2 linked regions of the Macaca mulatta genome follow. The protein of the gene in region 1 interacts with the protein of each later gene in a pairwise test. Links are inferred from orthologs where the notes say so. Each region holds a gene or a part of one and is shown on either strand. Other genes may lie near its edges.

The links.
Region 2: the proteins of PACSIN1 (region 1) and EHBP1 interact in a two-hybrid assay, tested with the Homo sapiens proteins (2 studies listed by BioGRID and IntAct). The link is inferred for Macaca mulatta from reciprocal best matches to the Homo sapiens genes PACSIN1 and EHBP1.

The regions. Positions count from the first base shown.
Region 1 is NC_133409.1:147,737,434-147,749,853, reverse strand, and holds the end of PACSIN1 (protein kinase C and casein kinase substrate in neurons protein 1), read left to right. Parts: intron 1-180; coding exon 181-336; intron 337-489; coding exon 490-665; intron 666-1,067; coding exon 1,068-1,188; intron 1,189-1,284; coding exon 1,285-1,412; intron 1,413-2,387; coding exon 2,388-2,575; intron 2,576-3,113; coding exon 3,114-3,223; 3' UTR 3,224-6,463; downstream 6,464-12,420. Other genes in the region: SPDEF (SAM pointed domain-containing Ets transcription factor), read right to left, coding at 9,503-9,681, 10,487-10,633, 10,752-10,799, 12,257-12,420. UniProt on the Homo sapiens protein: Plays a role in the reorganization of the microtubule cytoskeleton via its interaction with MAPT; this decreases microtubule stability and inhibits MAPT-induced microtubule polymerization.
Region 2 is NC_133418.1:61,807,569-61,819,274, reverse strand, and holds part of EHBP1 (EH domain-binding protein 1), read left to right. Parts: intron 1-2,670; coding exon 2,671-3,573; intron 3,574-9,908; coding exon 9,909-10,052; intron 10,053-11,706. UniProt on the Homo sapiens protein: May play a role in actin reorganization. Links clathrin-mediated endocytosis to the actin cytoskeleton. May act as Rab effector protein and play a role in vesicle trafficking.

The sequences.
Region 1 (12,420 bases):
GAGATCCGGCCACTGCACTCCAGCTTGGGCGACAGAGCGAGACTCTGTCTCAAAAAAAAAAAAAAAAAAAGAGTGTGGGCTCACAGCTCCCAGGGAGTGGGCAGGGGAGGAGTTGATGGATGACCATGTTTGCTGCTGGTCACAGATGAAAACCCTACTCCCTATTCCCCCCTCCCACAGCTGGAGGCAGCCAAGAAGGCCTACCATTTGGCTTGCAAAGAGGAGAAGCTGGCCATGACACGGGAGATGAACAGCAAGACAGAGCAATCGGTCACACCTGAGCAACAAAAGAAGCTGCAGGACAAAGTGGACAAGTGCAAGCAGGATGTGCAGAAGGTGCTGGCGGGCGGGGATGGCAGCAGGATGTGCAGAAGGTGCTGGCCGGGCCGGGATGGCAGCAGGGGGTCTGGGGGTCCCCTTGCAAAGGATGGTGGCTGGGAGCTGCAGGCCTGGTTAGGTGTCACCCTCTCTCCATTCTGGTGCCCACAGACACAGGAGAAGTACGAGAAAGTGCTGGAAGACGTGGGCAAGACCACACCCCAGTACATGGAGAACATGGAGCAGGTGTTTGAGCAGTGCCAGCAATTCGAGGAAAAGCGGCTGGTCTTCCTCAAGGAGGTGCTGCTGGATATCAAACGGCACCTCAACCTGGCTGAGAACAGCAGGTACCTGGGCATGGCAAGCACCGAGGGCACAGGCACAGCCAGCAGTTGGTGTGACTGGCATGCAGGGCATCCCAGCCCTACATCATAGTGACGGGAAGGGGAGGCAGAGCTGCAGGGGTCAAGAGGGATGAGGCTTCAAACACAGCGGCTGTTGGGTGCAAGATGACGCACACTGCGTACTCTAGAAATACATGCAGGGTGATGGGTGAATGGCTAAGGTGGGAGGGAGAAGGGAGTTCACTGAGCATGCCCGGAGCTGCTTCTTGCAAAGCCCACATGATTCCTGGCTGGGCAGCATGCCCAGCACCCTGCTTCCCTGAGTGGACTCCGGCCCCTCACCAAGGATGAGAAGGGGCCATGGTGAATCTGTGCCCTCCACCTCCCCCATTTCCCTGAGCACAGCTACATCCATGTGTATCGTGAGCTGGAGCAGGCCATCCGGGGGGCTGACGCCCAGGAAGACCTCAGATGGTTCCGCAGCACCAGTGGCCCCGGCATGCCCATGAACTGGCCCCAGTTTGAGGTGAGGATATGTGGGGATGGGAAGGGGAGCCTGAAGAGGCTGAAAGGTGCCTCAGGGCATAGTCCCCCAGCCTGACTGCTCCACTGGCCCCACCAGGAGTGGAACCCAGACCTCCCTCACACCACCACCAAGAAGGAGAAACAGTCCAAGAAGGCAGAGGGAGTGGCGCTGACCAATGCCACTGGGGCAGTAGAGTCCACATCCCAGGCTGGGGACCGAGGCAGGTGAGTGCCTCCTGTGGAGCTTCCTGGGGCCAAGAGGGACCCACACTCTGGGGCAGCTGAGTTGTGCTTCAGAAGACAAGAAATGATCTAGATCATAGCAACTATGTCTCCTCTCTAAAGGAGAGTGGTAGTTCATCACTCTAAAGCAGCGGTCCCCAATCTTTTTGGGACCAGGGACCAGTTTTGTGGAAGACAATTTTTCCACCGATGGGAGCGGGGTGGTTTTGGGATGAAACTGTTCCACCTCAGATCATCAGGCATTAGATTATCATAAGGAACGTGCAACCTGGATCCCTCGAATGTGCAGTTCACGATAGGGGTTTGCGCTCTTACGAGAATCTAACGGCGCGGCTGATCTAACAGGAGGTGGAACTCGGGCGATAATGCTCCCTTGCCTGTCACTCACCTCCTGCTGCGCTGCCTGGTTCCTAACAGGCCACGGACTGTCTGCAGCCCCAGGATTAGGGATCCCTGGTCTAGATAATAGGAACCAAGCCTCCTCTCTAAAAGATAGTGGTAGCGGATCCTTCTAGAGCACCTGCTGTGTGTGGCGCGGTTCAAGTGCGTAAATATTCCCGTTTTACAGATGGAGAAACTGAAACCCAGAGAGGTTAAGTGACTTGCCCAAGGTCACATTGCTAGTTAATAAACCTCAGAGCCAGATATGATGCCCAGGAGGTCTGACTCCAGGATCCTTGCTCTTAATCATTAGGTGGTACTCCTCCTCCCGGATGAAGACTCAGACTTGCCCTGGGGTCCCCTTAAATGCCCTCTCCCTCTTGGGCTGAATAATAATGCAAATGGCCCTGCATTTAAACATCTGTTTAAAGAGCTCATGAGGGTCACCCCTCCTATGTGGCTAATCCTTGCTCTAGACTTGGTAGAATTCAGGGTCAGAGCTCTGATTAGGAGTGGTTAGCCCTCGGGGTGTGGTGCGGGGAGACATTGAAGCTGGGTCCTCCCTCCGCGTCTCAGTGTTAGCAGCTACGACAGAGGCCAACCCTACGCCACCGAGTGGTCAGACGACGAGAGTGGAAACCCCTTTGGGGGCAGTGAGGCCAACGGGGGTGCCAACCCCTTTGAGGACGACTCCAAGGGAGTGCGCGTGCGGGCACTCTACGACTATGACGGCCAGGAGCAGGATGAGCTCAGCTTTAAGGCCGGTAGGGCGGCTGGGCGGGACAGTGCCTGAGCGAGGCTTGGGCCTGGATTGGGTGTGTGGTGGGGCAGGGGCGGTGCCTGAAAGAGAGGCTTGGGCCTGGACTGGGTATGCGGTGGGGCAGAGACAGGATTTGAAGACGGGTTACGAGGATTTGCAGGGAACTAAATGGGGCGTGGCCTGGGTTGTGGGCGTGACCTGGGCCCAGGATGGGAGTGGGAGCAAGATTTAGATTGGTTGGTGCCAGGGGCGGAGTCAGAACCTGAGAATAGGGTGGATGCGAGGTCTGATTTTGGGGGCGGACCCGACACCCAGATTAGGTGAGTGGCTGAAGTAGGCCAGGACCCCTATGCCAAGGGTGGCATGTGAATGTTGGCATGGAACTGGGGCTGGTCTCCAGGGGCAGGGCCTAAGAATCTAAGACCCAGTGCAGTAACCGGGAGGGGGTATTGGAGGGCTCCCTTTGCAACTGGTGTGTTGAGGGAGGGGCAGCCTTCTCTCTGAGCCCTCCCCCCCGCCCCGCCCCGTGTTCTTTTCCCTAGGAGACGAACTCACGAAGCTGGGCGAGGAGGATGAACAGGGCTGGTGCCGTGGGCGGCTGGACAGCGGGCAGCTGGGCCTCTACCCTGCCAACTACGTGGAGGCTATCTAGAGGCCCTCCCTCCATACTCCCCTCACTCCTCCCCACTGCCTCCCCTCCCCTCCCACTCTCGTCTCCTTCCCCTCGCCATAGAGTTCCAGACATATTTTCCGATCAAGCTTTTATTTTTTTAAAAGTCAAAACAGAACAAAACAAAGTATACAGAGACAGAGCATTTGCAGGGCCACCTGGAGGCTGCGGTGCTGGGGCTTGGGATGATGGTCCCAGGGTAGGTAACAGGCTTAGGACTTAGCCCAACATCACAACATCTGCTCTTTAGGTTCCACCAAAGAGACTCCTGAGCCCTGAGAGATGTCTCCTGACCCTTCCACCCTGCCTCACTCCTTCTGTCCCACTCCACTCCAGGCTGCCGGCACCTGCCCCATTCCCTGGCCTGGTTTCCTAACCTTTTCTTCCTCCCCTGCCCTGCTTCCCTTCCTCCACCACCCTGCCCTCAAAGGCCTCCTCTCCAGACCCCAGGGAGGGAGGCTTCCCCATCTTTAGTCTTCCACTCTACCCTGGGGAGCATCCTCTACTCCTAGCTGCGTCCCTTGGGCCCAGTGGGACTGGAGGAGGAACAGTCACCCTCCTCCCCGCTGGAGGTTCCCAGGGGTCCCCCAGACATGAAAGAGGGGTGAGCTGGAGGAAGTCATGGTGTCACTGGGGTACAGGAGGGTGAATGAAGGGCATGCAGGCTCTCAGCCCGGGTTGTGCCAGCCCTCCCAGCCCCAGGCCCATCTGAGGGACCAAGACCCTGTTACCCAGGCCCTTCTTTCCAGCCATCAGCACTTTGAGCATCGGCTCTTCAGCAGATCCAAACCCCCTCAGCAACTTGCAGAGGACCTGTCCCTTCTCATAAGTCCCCTGGCCTAGGGTGGGGACCCCCAAACTGATGGCAAAGCCAGCAACAGTAGCAGCCTCCTCCTATTTGCTGGGGAGGAGGTCATCTTGTCCCCCTGGCCCCCCACGCTCCCCCCATGTCCATCCAAAAACCATAAAATCACTGGGTTCCACATCAGCCTCCATGAGGCCAAGCCTTGTACCTGCAAAGCTCTTGGCCTAACCATCTCTCCTCTTCTCTGACCTGCCTGGGGAGCCTGCAAGGGCCCCTTGGGTGCCTCCAGCCTGAGACATCAGGGGAGAACCTGCAGCTGAGTTTGGCAGAAAGGAGGAACCCTGGCCCTCAAGAGGAAGATAGTCACATCATGTATTTCTTCCTTGTCCCCACAGTCCCCGGAACAACATTCCCCCTGCTGGCAGCCCTTCCATCTCTCCAAGCCTGGGTCAGAGTGAAAGGACCTTCGGGGGTGGGTGGAAGCAAAGGGCCCAGCTGCTGGTTGGTGAGCAGTAGTGCCGGAGTGCTAGGTACCAGCCTCTCCCGCACGAGAGGGTACGGGGGCTTGGGAAGCAGACCAGGGTTGGACAAAACCCCATGAGGGAGGGGAGCTGGAAGAAAAGTCTCTTGGGGACCTCTGGAGCAAGGAGCTGAGAAGTCCTGCAGCACCAGGTGAGACTTGCTTACGGTGGATGCCACTTCTAGGCCTCTGGACCGCAGATGCCCTCCTTCCTCCTGCACACCTGGCCTCCTGGGCCTCCAGGTAAAGAGAGAGAGCCAGCCCAGCCCTGTTCCCCCTCAGTCCTCCTTTGCTCTTGCTGCTTCTCCCAACAGCCCACTGTTAGGAGGTAGTAGAGCCCAGCCTCAAGGTTCTGACCTTCTCCGTGTGGGCACGGAGGGTCCTGACACTCTGGCAGGGGCCTGAGCTGGGGCAGGCCTCCCTCAGGGCCAGGGGCAATGGCATCCCAGGGACAGGCAGACCTCCTTCCTGCTGCCAGCACCCCCTTCCTTATCACTGTCTGGTCTCTGGGCCTTGGCTGCAGCCTGAGATGAGCCTGAAGCCAAGATGAGCCTCCTCAGCACCTGAAGCAAACTTTTGGAAGCCTGAGATGTGTCCTGGGCTCCTCAGCGCCTGAAGCAAGCTTTTGGAAGCCTGAGATGTGTCCTGGGCTCCTCAGCGCCTGAAGCAAGCTTTTGGAAGCCTGAGATGTGTCCTGGGCTCCTCAGAGCCTGAAGCAAGCTTTTGGAAGCCTGAGATGTGTCCTGGGCTCCTCAGAGCCTGAAGCAAGCTTTTGGAAGCCTGAGATGTGTCCTGGGCTCCTCAGAGCCTGAAGCAAGCTTTTGGAAGCCTGAGATGTGTCCTGGGCTCCTCAGAGCCTGAAGCAAGCTTTTGGAAGCCTGAGATGTGTCCTGGGCTCCTCAGCGCCTGAAGCAAGCTTTTGGAAGCCTGAGATGTGTCCTGGGCTCCTCAGCGCCTGAAGCAAGCTTTTGGAAGCCTGAGATGTGTCCTGGGCTCCTCAGCGCCTGAAGCAAGCTTTTGGAAGCCTGAGATGTGTCCTGGGCTCCTCAGCGCCTGAAGCAAGCTTTTGGAAGCCTGAGATGTGTCCTGGGCTCCTCAGCGCCTGAAGCAAGCTTTTGGAAGCCTGCAGTCCTCCCAGCTCCAGCGCAGAAGTCCAGCCTTTCCCCAGGCAGGAGCTGGGGTAGGGGCGTCTGTCCCTCATCACTTACCTTGGAAAGGTGGGAAGCTGGCGATCTGCATCTTGGGGCCTGGGCTCCCCCTCTCTGTGCCAGCAGCTTCCCAGCACCTGCGGAGGGGCTGCAGCCCCAGCTGGACTCCACCCTGTCCCTCTTAGCACTCCAGCTGCCCACTCCAGGACAGGGACTCGAAACCCCCTCCATCCTGAGCAGCCACCTCCAGGGCCCTGTTTGGGACCACTCTCTCAGTCCCCAGGCTCCTCAGGGCTCCAGAGCAGGAGGGTCTCCTACCTGGAAGTCCCCTTGAGCTCCAGGGCCCAACCCTACCTGCCAGTGCTGGTGTCAGGGCACTCAACACCCAGGGTGGGTGCCGCGCCCCTTGCCATGCCCACGGCCTCCTCCTGTAGCCCCTGCCCGCATCCTCGATGCTGCACGGGCCCGCCCTGGCGGGGCTTGGCGAGTAATGTGTTTTGTCCCGAGTTAACCACCATTCTGCGGCCTGGTTCTGTAAGGAACCGGGGCTGCCCCACCACCCGCCGTCTGCCGCCCTAGGCTTCCTGACCCCATTAGTTCCGACACTTGTGAAACTCCGAGAAGTGCTGTGGTCTCAGCAATGCACCTGTTTTGTACATGATTGTGTAATTTAAAGGTATATAAATACAAATATATATATATATCAGTTGTGATTGTATGACTGTGGATAAAATCCAGAACTGTGTCAACCTGGCTGCGCATTGTCATGTTGAGTCTTGTGCGCCTTCTTCAGTCCTGGGGGTTTCTGAGCCCTCTGAGAGCTGTTTGTGGTTGGGATGCAGGAGGGCAGGGGTGGTGCCTGAGCAGGGCTGGGTGCTGTCCTGGCCGACCATCCATAGACTGGGCCACTGAGGCCTGGTCCCTTCATCCTGCAGGGGCCTGGGTCTTGTCTGGACTGGGGAGGGTGATACTGGAGGCTCCTGGAGCTCTGGCCCATTCAGGTTCCGGGTGCCTGGTGACAGGCCCTGACCAGGAGAGCTGGGGCGTTCAGGTTTCCACACTCATGGATTAAGAGTGAATGAAGCTCTCAAATAGGTTTTGCTTTTTAAAGCAGAATTCTAAAAGTGACCGCTGAGGCCCATGGTTCCTGGTTGTCCACAACTTCAGTGCCAAGCTCCCTGTGTGGTGACATTGGGCCGTGCCACACCTTCCTGCACCCAACCTGGCTCTGAAGGCATTTCTGTGTGGGACCCGTGGGAGGGCTCCTTGGGGAGAATTTCTCAGGGGCATAGGCAGGACCAGAGCTCTGGGTTCTCGGCTGTTCTTCCAGCCCCAGGCCCAGCTCTTGCTCCGGCTCCCTGACTCCCCCTGCACCCCAGCCTCTGGGGATCTCTTCTGGGGCAGCGCAGGAGTCCAAGGGCCAGTCCCAGTTCTGCCATCAGCTCACTGTGTTCCCACCCTCACCCGGGTCTCAGCTTCCCCAGTCGGGTGAGATGTCTCTCTCAGGGTCCTCTGGCCCTGGCAGCCTGGCAGGGCCATCACACAAGCCCATTACTCAGGGCAAATATACCCCAGCCCCTCCCTGACACCCCGTGCCCCAGCCTCAGGGTGTGCCAGGCAGGGAAAAAGGTTGAGATGGAGATTGAATCTATCAGCCACCCCATCTTCCTTACTCCTCCAAACCTACCTCCATGTGAAGCCCGGTTTTAGCCAAACAGAGAAATCTTCAAATAAAGACAAAAGGTTGTTGTATTGTCTTACCTGCACAGGCTGTTCCATTTAGTGATGAGGGGCCCTGAGGGTGGGGCCCCCATGGAGAAGGGTCAGAGAATCCCCAGCCAGGTGGGGTTCTGCTGGGGAGGTGTTTGGAGGAGGGAGAGGAATCTGCAGATCGCTGCCGGCTCACAAGGTGTCACTGGATGGGCATGTGCCTGCCAAGGTTCATGGGCAGGGAGCTGCCTCACCCGGGCCCCCACATCTACCCTTTCCAGAGCTGCTCCACCTTTGTACTCCTAGCATCCACTGCCCATACCTATCCTCTTGTCCAAACCCTGACTGAGATCTGAGGCCTTTCCAGGCCCAGGCCCAGCTGGGGACATACAAGCAAGTGGCTCCAGGGACTCAGTCAGGAGCAGGCCAGGCTGGCTGGAGACAAAACCAGTTCAGCAGAGCCTGGTTCTGGCCAGGGTCCCAGGCTCCCCCTGGCACTCCTCCCTCCAAGGGAGTGAGAGACAGCAGGGGCCCAGCGAGGCACAGGCCTGGGGCAGGGCCCCCTCCTCCCTGCAGTGCAAGCCCAGCTGACAGATGCCAAGGTGCTATTTGCTCACTGCTAGGAGCAAACTTTCTTCTGGACAACAAAATTGCTGAGGGCGGAAGGCAGCAGTACAGGGTAGCAATTAACCCTTGGTGGTCTGGGTGGTGCTGGCTCCCCTGCTGTTTCCTGGAAGCCAGGCCTCAGAGGATAAGGGTGAAAGAGGACCAAGGGTGCTAACCAGTCAGGAAGCCGGAGGGCTGGAGGGGCAGAGAGAGCCCTGTTCTTGTGGAAAGACAGGTATGAGTTACTCTGTCAATCAGCTGTGTGACCATCAGCAAGTCACTGCAGCACTCTGAGCCTCGGTTTCATCATCTGCAAAATGGGGGAGTAGCCCCTACTTCATAGTTTTGTTGGGAAGATAAATGACAAAGCACCTGGCACACAGTAGACCATAAGGACACTGAGCCGGGTGATAAATGTGAGGGAAGTGGGAGGAAGCTGGATGAGTTGCTTTGCCCGGGAGAGTGGGTGGCGGGTCCTGGTCACCCCCAGCATGCCCACAGACATCAATGCACACCCTCTTCCATCACGCACGGGGGTCTCACACCCACTCACAGGAGCTCACATCTTCACAGACGGTACTGCTGAGGCCTTCAGGAAACAGAAACGGGAGCCAACCAACCTCTCTTCCACCCTGTTAGCTGCAAAGCCCTGCTCTGCAACAGAGCAAAAGGATGCGAAAGATACCTTCCCCATTCGGGTCCTGCATGAAGAACCTCTTTAACACCAGCCTTACCACCCGCCTCTCAGCCCGAACAGGGATAGGGAAGATAAGGTGGCTGTTCTAGCCCCTCCTTGACTTTGAAGCCTCACTATCTCTCTCCCAGAAGCATCTACCAGTCAATTATCCCTTTCCCTTTAGGCTCAGCCCAAAGCCGCCTCCTCCAGAAAGCCTCCCTTGACTACTCCAGGCCCTGTGACCACAACCACACTTGACCATTGATGACCTCGGGGCTGTGCCATTCACTGCGCAGACACTGGGGACATGTCAGTTCTCTAGTATCTTTATTATCCATTCCCGGGGGCACTCCTGGCTCCCTAACTCAGGGGTGCAGACGTCTCCCTGCACCATGCCAGGCGTGGTGCGGATTGGGAGGCAGGGGGATGGAGCAGAGAGAGCCCTGGGCTGCCTGTGGCCTTCGCTGAGTCACTGCCCTTCTGTAGGCTCTGCTCTGGAAATGCTGGGGTCAGAGGCAGGTAGAGGGGTCCTTTGTTGGGGAGCAGTCCTGGCTCCCTCTGTCCTCCAGGGGAGCAGCTGGGCCTGAGGAGGAAGCACCCCTGCCCTGGGGTCCCGAAGGCCCCAGAAGGCCCATCTCCCCCTGAGAGCAGCGGGCCGCCTCTCCCTGACCTTGGGCTCTGGAAGGTCAGAGCAGCAGAGCAGACTGCCCATTTTCCCCCAGCTCAGGGCCTGGCTGAGGCAGGACAGGCAGGAGGGAGGCCCCGGAGGGCGGGTTTTAGGCCCTGGGCCGGGCACTCAGATGGGGTGCACGAACTGGTAGACGAGGCGCTGGGAGATGTCTGGCTTCCGGATGATGCCCTTCTTGTAATACTGGCGGATGGAGCGGCTTAGCTTGTCATAGTTCATGGCGGGACGATTCTTGCGGATGCCCCACAGCCGGGCCACCTGGGCTGAGTCCTCAATTTTGAAGATGCCTGGAAGAGTAGGAGGGCCCCGAGAGAGCCAGCGGTATGAGTGAGTCGGCAGGAAGGAGAAAGACGCAGACCACCAGGTCAGCCTCGGGGCGAACCAAGAGACCCTGTGCAGAGGCCTCCTTCTGCTCGGGTGGGGCGGGGTGACCAGGGACCCGAATGCTTACTCCCAAGGTGCAGTAGTGGTGAGGGTTAAAGAGATGTGTGCAAAGCAGGTGCCACAGGCCCCAGTGAATGGCAGAGAATACTCTGGAGTCACAAACCTCCCGGCACAGTTGAGTCTGTGTACCTTAGTGGGTTCTCTGGGGCCCTGCGGGCCTGGCCCTTGCCAGCCCCTGCTCCTGTGTGGGGTTTGCGTGCCCTAATCCAAAGTCCTGTGTGGCTCCCAGCAGTGCCCACAGCTCACTTGGCAAGAGCACTCCTCCCCCATTACAGGTGTCCCTGTAGTTCCCAAGCCTGAAACAACATCTTTGCTATTCCCAGGCAGTTTTGGCCTGCGCAGCCCTTTCTGGCGGGATTAATTAATACGAGACGGTGGAGGGAGAGTCGATTTGGAGCTCGTTCCAGGAGCTGTGCTGTACTAAGCTCCTAAGTGAGACAGAGTCTAGCAGGAGACAGATATGGACACAAATTGCACACAGACCCCCCAGGGCCATCTCATGAAAGCTGTGTATTTGGCATCCAGGACAAAGGTGGAGATCAGCTTCCCCCCTCTGCCCGCCCCTGCCCCCATGCACAGTGCCTGGCAGAAGCCCCCACAACCTCCATGCTCACTGGCCCTGCAGTGCCCCTTGGGCACCCTGCTCACCCTTCTCCTTGTTGAGCCACCTAATGAAGCGGCCATAGCTGTGGGGCTTGAGTAGCAGCTCCTTGAGGAACTGCCACAGGTGGATGGGCTGCCCGGAGCATGACGAGTCCACCTCGCTGTCGGTCCAGCTCTCCTCACTGGTCGAGGCTGGGTGGCCAGGGAGGGGGGCAGTGAGTGGGAAGGGGAGGCCAGTCCCTGCTTCAGTGGCAGCCACCCCTCCACCCTACCCGAGCCCCCGCCCCCGCCCTGCCCCTGCCTGGCTCACCGCAGTAGTGAATCGCCCCAGGTGAAGTCCGCTCTTTCATCCAGGCCGCTGCAGGGCAAGGAGAGGGGGTTGGGGACCCAGGAGAGGTGGAGGAGGGGAGGCGTTTGGGTGGGACTGTGGGGCCACAGGAGCCCCTTTGTGGCTGGGGGTTGCCCCTGAGGCTCCCTGCCACAGTCCCTGCCTCCTGCCAACCTGGGGAGGCAAGCTGGTTACAAGAAGCTGCTTCCTGGACGAAAATTCAGGATTTCAGCGCTGGGAGGGGCCATAGAGGGCTTGCACGCATCCGCTTGTTCAGATGAGGACATCTGACATGGGGGCTTGCCGGGGCTGGGGCAGGGCACTGGTCTCTGACAGGGTCATATGAGTGGGCCCTACTTCTTACTCCTTGACTCATCGAGCAGGCACCATCTCCTCCAAAGCACCCGGCCCTGTGCAGGCAGCAGTGGGTGCCCAATGAGATTGAGACAATTTAGACACTCAGGGGCTGACACGCAGCCATTAGAAACTTAGGGCAGGCCGGGCCCGGAGGCTCACGCCTGTAGTCCCAGCACTTCAGGAGGCCGAGGTGGGTGGACTGCTCGAGCCCAGGAGTTTGAGACCAGCCTGGCCAACATGGTGAAAACCCGTCTCTACCAAAAAATACAAAAGTGAGCAGTGTGGTGGTGCACCTGTAGACTCAGCTACTCAGGAGATTGGGGTGGGAGGATCCAGTGAAACCGGGAAGTCGAGGCTACAGTGAGCTGTGACTGTGCCACTGTACTCCAGCCTGGGCAACAGAGTAAGACCCTGTCTCAAAAAACAAAAACTAAAATTAAAGCAGGGCCACTTTAATTTTAGCAGAGTATAAAATTAAAGACATACTGTGTTTTTAATACCAAGACATACTGTGGTATGCAGAGCAGTGTAATACTCTGCTACTATTTATGTCAAAAAAATATAAGAAGAAGAAGAACTGCATATATGTATATGTGCTTGAATATTCATAGACTTTCCCTGGAGAGATACTCAAGAAACTGGTAAAAGTGGTTGCCTCTAGGGAGGGGGTTGGAAGCTGGGGGTCGGGAGCAGGAGGGAGAAACTGTTTATGGTACACTACTTTTCACTATGGTCTATTTTATAACATGCACGTTTATTACTTATTTAATAAACAAACAAACAAACAAACAAAAACAAAGGAAAACAAAATTTTAAAAGGAAAAAGGACTTCCTAGCGTCCACGGTTGTCCCCAGCTCTGACACCCTGCATCCTCACAGTCTGACTTCTACCTTTTAACCTCCCGGGTGCTCTGTCCCAAAGCTCTGGGGCCTTGACCAGGACTGGGAGTGGGTTGGGGTGAGGAGTGCACCAGGATCCAGGAGGCAGCTGAAACTGGGGCTGAGATTCAGAGTGGAGTCCAGCTGGGGGCCAAGGGGCTGCTGCCCCAGCAGAGGGCAAACTCCTGGCCAGCATCCTGTCCCTGGCTTGGAGCCTGGGAGGGGCTGCTCCCACCCACGCCACATCCTACCTGACTTCCAGATGTCCAGGTGGGCGTGCAGCACATCCCCACCCAGGGGCGAGCGCTGGCGGAACTGCTCCTCCGACATGGCGCACAGCTCCTTGCCCGCCAGCTCCTGGAACGCCTTGCCCACAGGGGGCAGCCGGTATTGGTGCTCTGTCCACAGGAGCCAC
Region 2 (11,706 bases), on another chromosome or scaffold:
AAATGTTAGCTCAGCATGGTGGCATGCACCTGTAGTCCCAGCTACTTGGGAGGATGAGGTGGGAGAATCGCTGGAGCCCAGGAGCCCAAGACTGCAGTGAGCTAGGATCACGCCACTGCTCTCCAGCCTGGTTGACAGAGCAAGACCCTGTGTCCAAAAACAAACAAACAATCAAAAATGCTTGTTTTTTTGCAAATGCATAATGCTGGCCATAGAGCAATAAAAACCTGGCAGTTTCTATTGAAATATGCCACCAAAAAAAGATAATCTTTAAAAATCAGTATAGTTTTCTTGTAGAAATCACCCTTCAGATGGGCATGTTACAAAGTAAATTGTTCTCATGAATTATTTCTTGTATAATTTTGGAGAGCCTGTGTCTATTAAAGTGAAGTGCTTCTTTTTCATTAATTGCAATTAAATTATATCTTTGGGTATGGCAGTACTTTACCTCCATTTTCTTACATTTGAACAAAATGCTAAGCCAATTTAAATACAGACATGAGCATTATAAAATAAACCATTTTTTAAAGTGGATGTTTCACCTTACTGTTCAAAATTTTGAAAAGAAAATGTTGTTGATTCTACCTCGTTATAAATGTGTGAAGAATATGGGGAATCTCATTAAGGCTTAAGTCACACTTCTTTACATTAGCTTTTCATTAACTTAGTAATGGTAAGCATACTTTGGATTTACATATTACTCCATACGGAAGACCATCCCATTAAAAATTTTTTTCAGTTAGATCTTCCAGTACAGACAATCATGGCTTTTGAAAGGCTTTATCTTTGATGATTCTATTCATTGTATTATTCAATAAATAATTGTTTTTACATCGTCTTTCCTTTCATCATTTGCTGCTTCTTACCTGATAGCTACATTGAGTTGCTACCTGCAAATTACTTCTAGCTTCACACAGTTCTTCCCAATAACCCCATGTGCCCCTGAATGAACTTAAAGCACCATAGGAAAACAATGCCTGTGTCTTAAATTTCATACAGATGCATAACATAACTGGCAGTAACTCCTCCTTACCAATTTAATAACATGTAGGAACGAATAAGATAATTTTCTTAGAAAGACCTCTTTTTTCACCCCACACAAACAGGTAAAAAACAGTAGGTAGTTGACCAGGGCAGAAGAGATTAAGCTTTGGGAAAAGTCCTTTATAAAGCGTAAACCTTGCTTACAAGAAACCTAGTTTGTTTTTAATTTTTTTTTTTAGTGTAATTAGTGTATATAAAATGAATTGCTACCTGAAGCAAAACACCAGCAGGAGTTTCCCCACAAGGAAGCTAATCATTTCCCCGGGTCTGTAAAAAGTGCTGAATAAAAAAAGGCATTTTCCTGTGACATCTGATCTTAACCAATATGTCAGTGTTTTTAGATAATTTGGGAATGTTTAGAATACTGCCTGTGGTGCTTTCCCTGATGGCCTGCTATTGATGCCTGTCAGTCAAGTTGTCAAGACACATGAAAAGGAAAATGACTTCAATTTTCCTAAAACTTGTAAAATAACAAACAAGCCTATACATGCACACCAACTGAGTCATTCTCTCTAGTAAATATTTTGAGGTACCTATATTGTGAAGCCTAGTGCTGTGAAAATTGAAGAGGTTTTAATATCACAATTTATTTTTCATTTTCTTTCTTACTTGTTCCTTAATGTTTGTTAAACTACAAGAATATGAGACAAAGATTAAATTCAAACGTAGAAATTAAAGATTAACAAGTAAGTGCAGAAGACTGATTCCTTCTGAATTGTTACATAGTTTCCTAACATGTCTTTTAAGAAAAAATTTGAATTATGATCCTAGGTTCCTAAAAAGAGTAAACATTTTACGTCTCAGAGCAAGAATATATCTAGAGGGTTCTTTCTTTCTCTGAGAGTATATCTAAACCTTTAGCCATACTTTTAATGCTTCCTAGCAACACAATGCTGTTTTCAAGGGTTAGTTCAGGATAGTAATAATTAATTGTAAATTGAGAAACAGCTTTGATTATTCAAAACTAGAAAAACCTGATGTGCCATAGTCATTTAAAGGCTAACAAAAATAATACAATGCAGCCTTACATTCTCAACTAGGTTGTAGTACTCAGAACATTTCATTCTTTCCAAAACGAATGAATTAAAATGAAGTCACTCTTTTCATTATGAAAATCAGTCTTAATTGAGCATTTAAAAAATGTTTCTGTTTCTACACTTAAATTGCATTTATTTGTATTTTATATCAGGTAATCTAGTAGTTAGTTCTTTTGACTTATCTAGCTGTGCTTTTCTTCACAAATCACTGCAATTACATGACCGTGGAAAAGAGAGGTTGATAGAAATGATAAAGCTCAATATGGATTAGTCTAATGTTTCTTTATACTTTCATTCCTTATCTTAAAAGTCCATTCTCAGAGTTTTAAAAAATTTAACTCTCATTTTTGCTTATTTCCTTTATTGGAAAAAATATTTTAATTCTTATTTATTACACTTTTTTCTCTTGCCTCTCCCCCCACTTTTACACATGTCTGACTTTTGGAAATTTGTTATTTTCATGTGACATAATGTCGATAACATGTACCCTCCAATAACAACAACAACAACAATTAAAAATGTGCTCTTTTTAAAATGTATGAATTATGTGAACTGTTCAACATATCTTTTGTTTTTCCTTCCTTTGAAGGCATACGATGGATTTGCCAGCATAGGAATTTCCCGATTATTGGAACCTTCTGATATGGTATTATTAGCAATTCCTGATAAACTGACTGTTATGACTTATCTCTATCAAATAAGGGCACATTTCAGTGGCCAAGAGCTAAATGTTGTTCAGATAGAGGAAAACAGCAGTAAAAGCACATATAAAGTTGGAAACTACGAAACAGATACAAACAGTTCTGTTGATCAAGAAAAATTCTATGCAGAGCTTAGTGATCTGAAGCGGGAGCCTGAACTACAACAGCCCATCAGCGGAGCAGTAGACTTCTTATCACAGGATGACTCTGTATTCGTTAATGATAGTGGGGTTGGAGAGTCAGAAAGTGAGCGTCAAACTCCTGATGATCACCTTAGTCCAAGCACAGCCTCCCCTTACTGTCGCAGGACTAAAAGTGACACAGAACCCCAGAAGTCTCAGCAGAGCTCTGGAAGGACTTCAGGATCTGATGACCCTGGAATATGTTCCAATACAGATTCAACCCAAGCACAGGTTTTGTTAGGCAAAAAGAGACTATTGAAAGCTGAGACTTTAGAATTGAGTGACTTATATGTTAGTGATAAGAAGAAGGATATGTCTCCACCCTTTATTTGTGAGGAGACAGATGAACAAAAGCTTCAAACTCTAGACATCAGTAGTAACTTGGAGAAAGAAAAATTAGAGAATTCCAGATCCTTAGAATGCAGATCAGATCCAGAATCGCCTATCAAAAAAACGAGTTTATCTCCTACTTCTAAACTTGGATACTCATATAGTAGAGATCTAGACCTTGCAAAGAAAAAACATGCTTCCCTGAGGCAGACGGAGTCTGATCCAGATGCTGATAGAACCACTTTAAATCATGCAGATCATTCATCAAAAATAGTCCAGGTAAGTGAATTAGAATGCTGAATACTATATTTAGTAATTATTCTCTGTTTTTGTTTCTTTTTGCATTCATAGATGTTGCAAATGATTAAAGGTGAAGTGTAATGTCTATTGTAAAAATTCCTGAGGCATCCAGTAGTGTGCGCCAAAGTCCCCACTATTTGGGAGGCTGAGGAAAGAGGATTGCTTTGGCCTAGGAATTTGAAACCAGCCTGGGTAACATAGCAAGTCCCTGTCTCAAGAAAAGAAAAACCTGAAATATACCTGCTTTATATTTAAGATTTATGATATAATATTTTAAGCCTACAAATCCCAATTTCAACATTGAAGGATATTGTGTAATAAGACTATGAAAAAAAAGTTGAAGGATAAAGAATGTCAACTTTTCAAATAAAAATATTACTTATAAAAACGATATTCTACTATAAAATAAGTCAAAGTTGTTTCAATATTCCATTTAATAAGAACATCATTATAAAAATGTATAATGCCAAAGTAAATATTTCGCATTTTAAGCATTTTCCTTAGATATTTTAATTGGTTTATTTAGTCCCATCATTATTTGTGGTTAAATATCCCAGCAGCATCCAAATTTCTCCTCATGAAGGGAATATTGTACAGTTTTAACCTTTCTCTTACTGATGATATTAATAATTTACTGTTTTTACTTGTATCTCTGGTACAGTCAGTTATAAGATATACTATTATTTTATGTACTACAACAAAAAAGAACAACATTGTCAATAAAATTATGATACGTGGTTTTCCTATCACTCAGAATTTTTATATCTATTGAAAGAGCTCTTTTAGACTTATTTAGGCATAATTTGATCATATTAACACTCTTACATATACCTAAGGAGGAAATTTTAGGCAAAATAAATTGATTAAGGTATTCCTAAAAGTTTTTCACATTTAGAATCCAACTCTTCTGAATCACTTTTTGATTTAGAGTTGTTGGTATTCCTTTTTTTTTTTTTTTTTTTTCTGCACAGTTATCGTCTGTGCTATCAAAAGCATTGTTACAGTACATGGTTCTCAAAGCCAGATTTGGGGGCCTCTGAAGTTCTCCGAGTCCCTCTCAGAGAACACCCGAAGTTAAAGCTATTTTCATAATAATACTAGGGCATCGTTTGCCTTCATGACACTCATTCTCTCACAAGAGTATAATGGCATTTTCTGAAAGTTACATGATTTGTGATATCTCAACAGATCGAATATAAAAGTAGATATAGGAATTCAGCTGCTTTTATATTGAGATTTATAAAATATGTAAAATAATGCCATCCTTCTCAATTTTTGTTTTTTAAGTAATTATTTTCTATTAAAATGTGTTAACATCTAATGAGTTAATTGTGGCTACTTCTAAATGAAAAAAGTAAGTATTTTAAAATTGTATCAGTTTTAATATCAAAAATGACAAATGTCAATAGATATAATCTATATAAGCAAGAGTTTTTTGGGATCCTCAGTAATTTTTAAGAATATATGGGGATTTTGAGACCAAAAAATTGGAGAACCTCTGATTTTTTTTTTTTTTTGAAACAGAGTTTTGCTCTTGTTGCCCAAGCTGGAGTGCAATGGCACCATCTTGGCTCACTGCAACCTCTGCCTCCCAGGTTCAAGCAATTCTCCTGCCTCAGCCTCCCGAGAAGCTGGGATTACAGGCATGCGCCACCACACCCGGCTACTTTCGTATTTTTAGTAGAGACGGGGTTTCTCCATGTTGGTCAGGCTGGTCTCAAACTCCTGACCTCAAGTGATCCACCCACCTCGGCCTCCCAAAGTGCTGAGATTACAGGTGTGAGCCACCATGTCCGGCCTGAACCTCTGAATTCATAGCATTTCTCCACAACTGTCTCTGGGATTTTCTTCCAGGTCAGTATACTCATTGATAACAGCACTGTCTTGGCTTTACCAGAAGGTCTCAACAGAAGATTTTTAGACAGTAATCTGGAGTTATGTTTCTTTCTCACATAGTCCTCAAGTGGTGTTGACTGAAACATCAAGGAATTGTCATCATGCCAACAGAAATATCAAACAATATATATATAGATAGACAACCATGTCTTGACTGCCACCTGAATGACAGAGAGTGTAAGATTCTGCCATTTATAAGGTTTCAGAGGTGTCAAGAAAGAATTTACATATTAGAATTAAAGAAGTATAGTAGCTGTCAAAGCAAGCCCCTGTTCTCCTAATCATAAACCTCAAATCAAAAGTCCTAAGTAGCTAAATCTCTCTGAAAGCTTTCAGGACAGCATAATGTCCACGCAGAGTAGATAATCAATAAACATCTAGTGAATGACAATTACAAGAACTTGATGACCCTAACTTGTAATATTCAATACAGATTTTTATTTTGTTTTTTTGCGGGGCGATGGAGTCTTGCCCTGTCACCCAGGCTAGAGTGCAGTGGTGTGATCTTACCTCACTACAACCTTCGCCTCCTGGGTTCAAGTGATTCTCCTGCCTCAACCTCCCGAGTAGCTGAGACTACAGGTGTGTACCACCATGCCCAGTTAATTTTTGTATTTTTAGTAGAGATGGGATTTCACCACGTTGGCTAGGCTGGTCTCGAACTCCTGACCTCAGGTAATCCTGCTTCACTCTCCCAAAGTGCTGGGATTACAGACGTGAGCCACCGCACCTGGCCAAATTTTTCTTAAAAACCAGATTTTTAAGGCAAATATGTTTAGTTAAAACTAGAAATTGATTGATATTTAAAATGTTAAAATACCCTGGACTGGGAATCAGTAAGCCTGGATTCTTGTTTTGGCTCTCCCAATAAATTAGTAATGACATGTTAACTAGCTATTTAGCCTCTCTCAATCTTATTTTCCATGTATGTTAAATGAAGTAATCTTTAAGAACCCCTTTAGCTGTGAAACTATCATTCTGTGATTCTATTCAGATGATTAAAGTGTACTGGATGATAGAAGCAACGTCTATTCATAGCTCCATATATGTTTTCTCTTTGGCCATTGACTTACTCAGAATTTTGCTTAGGGTAAGTTTAAAGATTTTTATTGACACTGTATTGGCAAAAGTAATGTCTAACAATAAACACTGTAATATAGGTGCTGACATTTGGTAGGCTTTTAAAATTGTATATAGCAACTGAATTTTGGACAATTAAAAATCTGTTTCTCTTTTGTACACAGTATTTCAATTCTCAGATACACATCTTCTTACATTTTAACTTCTCAATCAATGTTATTTATAATAGATAGTATATTAGAGTTTAATTGACAACGTTTGTTCTTAGTAGTTCATAAAATAATAGTAATTCTTACAATTAAAACCATTGGATTAGAGGAAATTTAGTAACTTTAATATGACTTTGTATACTTAACAAAGTCATAATGTTGTCCATTTGGGTGCCTAATACATGTGATGACAGTTATCTATCTTACACATATCTCTTAAACTTTACAACCCATAAGGTAAGTAGTCAAATTCTATATTATATGTGGGAAATCTGGGGTTTGCAGAGTTACTTAAGGTTATATGATAAATGTTAAAGTTTGAATTAAAAAGCAACCTTGTCTTCAAAGTCTGTGCTTCTCCACTTGATGCATATAACATCTTATCGTAATAGCATTAAAAAATAATTTTAGCCCAAATATAATGTGGTCAACATTACTGAAGGGCAATTTAACAATGTGCATCAAATTCCTTAAAAATCTTTATCTCATTAGATCCTACTTTCAGGAATTTTTCCTAAGGAAATAATTAGAATTGTATAATATAGCTGGGCGCTGTGGCACATGCCTGTAATCCCAGCACTTTGGGAGGCCAAGGCAGGCGGATCACCTGAGGTCAGTTCGAGACCAGCCTGACTAACATGGAGAAACCCCGTCTCTACTAAAAATACAAAAGTAGCTGGGGTGGTGGCACATGCCTGTAATCCTAGCTACTTGGGAGGCTGAGGCAGGAGAATTGCTTGAACCCGGGAGGCGGAGGTTGTGGTGAGCCGAGCTGGCGCCGTTGTACTCCGGCCTGGGCAACAAGAGCAAAACTCCATCTCAGAAAAAAAAAAAAAAAAAAAGAGAGAATTGTATAATAAAAATGTACCTCTAAAGATATTCATAAAAGCATTATTTATGATAGTAAAAAATTGTGTGCAACCTAAATGTTCAGCAAAATAAGACAAATTAACTAACGTATGATGTGTCTATACAATGTAATGTTAGGTAGCCAATTAAAAATCATGTTTTAGGCTGGGCATGGTGGCTTACCTGTAATCCCAGTACTTTGGGAGGTTGAAGTGAGAGGATTGCTTGAGCCTGAGAGGTCAAGGCTGCAGTAAGCCGTGATTGTGCCATTGGACTCCAGCCTGGGTGACAGAGCGAGGCCCTGTCTCAAAAAAGTAAAATAATAAAATAATTTTAAAATTATGTTTAAAAAAATATTTAAGACCATAAGAAAATGCTCAAAATACAATAAGTGAAGGGGGAAAAAAAAAAAAAGCATGATTCTACAGTTATTATCTCTGGGTACCAGGACTACTACTAATTTTTATTTATCGTCTTTTTAACTTGTATTTATTTTCTGAAATCTCTGTAGTGAATTGCATTTCTAGCCAGGAAAATTTTTTTTAAAATTGTGTTTATGTGCTCTTAAACACAATTAGTGATTTTATAGTCTTCTGGTGATTTGATTTTGTTCTTAAGACCAAAACATTTTTTCACTGTCTTTGTAGCTGGTTGGAATCACCAAAAGACTATAAAATCACAGAATTCGGAGCTAGTGGAATCTTAAAGATGATCCCTCATTTCAAAGATTAAGAAATCGAGGGATTAAAACAAATACTTAACGTTTATTCAGTGTTTGTCATGCGCCAGTGCTCAGTACATTATGCTATTATTTAATCTTTGCCCTGTCCTTCTGAGAGTTGGTCTATTTCTATCCTTATTTTATAAATGAGGAAACTGAGGCTTAGATAAATTAACGTGCCCATAATTAAGTGGTGGAACTGATATTTGAACCCAGGTCTATCTGACTCCACATCATGTAATGGAATGCAGTACGTTTTTAACTGACCTGCTCAATGTTACATTGCTTATTATTAGTGGAAGAGGGATTAACAGCCTGATGTCTTGACTGAAAATTCAGTGTTCATTTAATTAATTTTGTCTGTTTTTGAGACACTGTTGATATTGTAACTAAATTCTATTGTGTCCTATTCAACATGAACTTAGACTTATCATTATCACTTATACATTTTATTTGTATCTATTAAGAATTTTTGTTTAATCCTCTTAAAAATCTTGGGTGATGAAAATGTCCTGGAATTAGGTAGTGGTGATAGTTCATAACCTTATGAAATACTAAAAAGCACTGAATTGTACATTTTAAGAAAAATCTTTTCTTCTTTAAGATTATAGAAAAAAAGCTTTAAAAATAGTTACAGTAAAATATAAAGACCACAAAGAAACCCAAAATGCTGAACTAATCTTTAAAAAGATGGTTTCACATAATATGAAATAAAGTAATAGCTATACTTATTTTATTTTCCTTGACAATGATACTTATGATTGAACCAAAACTATGCAATGAGAGGGAAGTAAAAGAAATTAAGTGTCAGATAATAGTAATAGACATCTAAAGCCAGAAGTTGGTTACTTAGTAGAAAAAAAAGGAATTTGGACTATAAGGAGTATGAATATTTGTGCTTTTGGTTAATGTATTTAAGAACTGATCTCTGTTGATGGATGATATCTGTTGTTCTCCAAAATTATATTGTAAAATTACAGATTAATCCAGGAGAATACTTTTTCAGTTATAATATTTTCAGCTGTTTTGTTATAAGGATAGTGAGCAATGGAGAAGACTAGTTTTACTTTTTTTTAATGAAATATAATAACTTTGAATTTTCTCTAAACATTCTTAAGAATTTAAAGGATTATTGCCACAGATATTTAATATTTATCAATGTTCAAATTTGAGAGACATGTTGTTACCAATTCTTTAAGACTGAAAATAAAACTCTGAACTTTAAAAAATGTCTTTGTCAGATTATACTGTGTTTATGAGCAAATAGAATATATAGAATATATATTAGCCTTATACCTAACGAGAATATGTTCTAATAAAATTATAATTAAATTTAATCCAGTTTTAGACAGTAAAGATGTATTTCCCTCATATCAAGATTTATATATTCATTCCATGGTTTCTAGTCAACATTAACATTCTCTATAGGTAATCTCATGAAGCTACAATCTTATTCATAATCTCTATTATTTCAGCAGATTGTCTAACCTTTCATTAGTTTACAAATGTAGATTACCAGTTCTTTTTTTGGCTTCTAATTCTGTATCTTTGCTTTTAAGCATCGAATGTTATCTAGACAAGAAGAACTTAAGGAAAGAGCAAGAGTTCTGCTTGAGCAAGCAAGAAGAGATGCAGCCCTAAAGGCGGGGAATAAGCACAGTACCAACGCAGCCACCCCATTCTGCAACAGGCAGCTAAGTGATGTGAGGAGCATTGGTTTAAAAAGACCATAAGTTGTTCATTGTAATCATGGGGAGGAGGGAAGTAATTTGCTTGTATTTTTGCTATGTTATTTTTCTACAGACTGTACATTGTAAATACTTAGTGCGCTTACTGAACTGATAAAGATAAATTCATACTTGTAGGACCATTTGATCATTATTCCTACAAAGCAGTGTTAGTGATGAGGAAAAGTAAGATCTGGGAATATAATTTCCACATATACATGAATAATCTGTTTTTTGTTTTTATAAACAAAAAACAGTTTTATAACTGTAGTTGTACTCTAAGATTGTATTTTGTCAATGGAGGTTAATTTTATTGGAAATGTTAGAATATAATAATGATGTCTATTATTACTGAATACCTACTAAGTATTTCAGGAGCAATAATTTTTATTTTACTTAGCACCATGGAGACTGAGGCCAATAGGCAAGGTAACTTGTACAAAGTCACAGAATCAGTAAACGGTGAATCCAGGATTTGAACCTGAGCCTTATTAGATTCCAAAGTCAGGCCACTTTCCTATCATATACTGCCATCTTTTTATTAAACCACATTTTTGTACATATTTTTGTGTAGTGCTTCACAGATAATAATGAACGTATAATAATAGAAGCCCTTAAAATTTAGGAGGACACAAACATCTTCATGAATCAGAAAACTGACAGTCTCACCATAGCACCATCATGTGTTAGTAGTTGTTTTTCCCAGAAAGGGCAGCTCTGTGCCATATAGCTAGGTAGCTACATGCCAGGTTGGTCACCTTGTTGCATTTGTTTCACGTTTACCCAAAGAAGTACCCTATTGCTTATGAGACTGTGCTTTGAACAGTCCCAAGATATTTTCCCACACTTCCTCTTTCAAGTTATCTATTGTTGCATTAAAAACCACTGCAGGGCTAGGCACGGTGACTCACGCCCATACCCAACACTTTGAGAGGCTGAGGTGGGAGGATCACTTGAGTCCAGGAGTTTGAGACCAGCCTAGGCAATAGTGACACCCCATCTCTACTTACAGAAACACACACACACACACACACACACACACACACACACACACAGAGACACACACTGCAAAACTTACTGGCAAAAAACAACCATCTGATTAGGTTAATAGATTCTGTGAGTTAAGAATTCAGATAGGACACAGAGGTAGTGGCTTGTTTATGTTCCATGACGTCTGGGGCTGGCTTTCAGCTAATAAGACCTCTGCCAGACTGTCAGTTGGAACACCTACATGTGGCCTCTCCATATGGTCTCTTTACTTCTCTAGTGTGGGCTTTCTCATAGCATGGTGGCTGACTTCCAAGAACAAGTGTCCCAGTGGAATAAGCCATAAATATGTGGCATTCTTATGATCTAGCTTTTCTTTATAACAAAATCACTCTAAGTTTATTGTAAGAAAGGAAAATTAGTGGGAAATTTCAGTTATGAACATAGATGTAAAAATCCTATAGAAAATATTAACAAATTCAACCCAGAAGTGTTTTAAAAAGTTAACATACCATGGTCAATTTGGATTTATTCTAGGAATGCAAGATTGTTTAATTTTTCAAAACTCAAGCAATGTAATTGACAACATTAACAGAATAAAGAAAAATCAAGCAGATATAGAAAAAGGTTGGAAAAATACCAA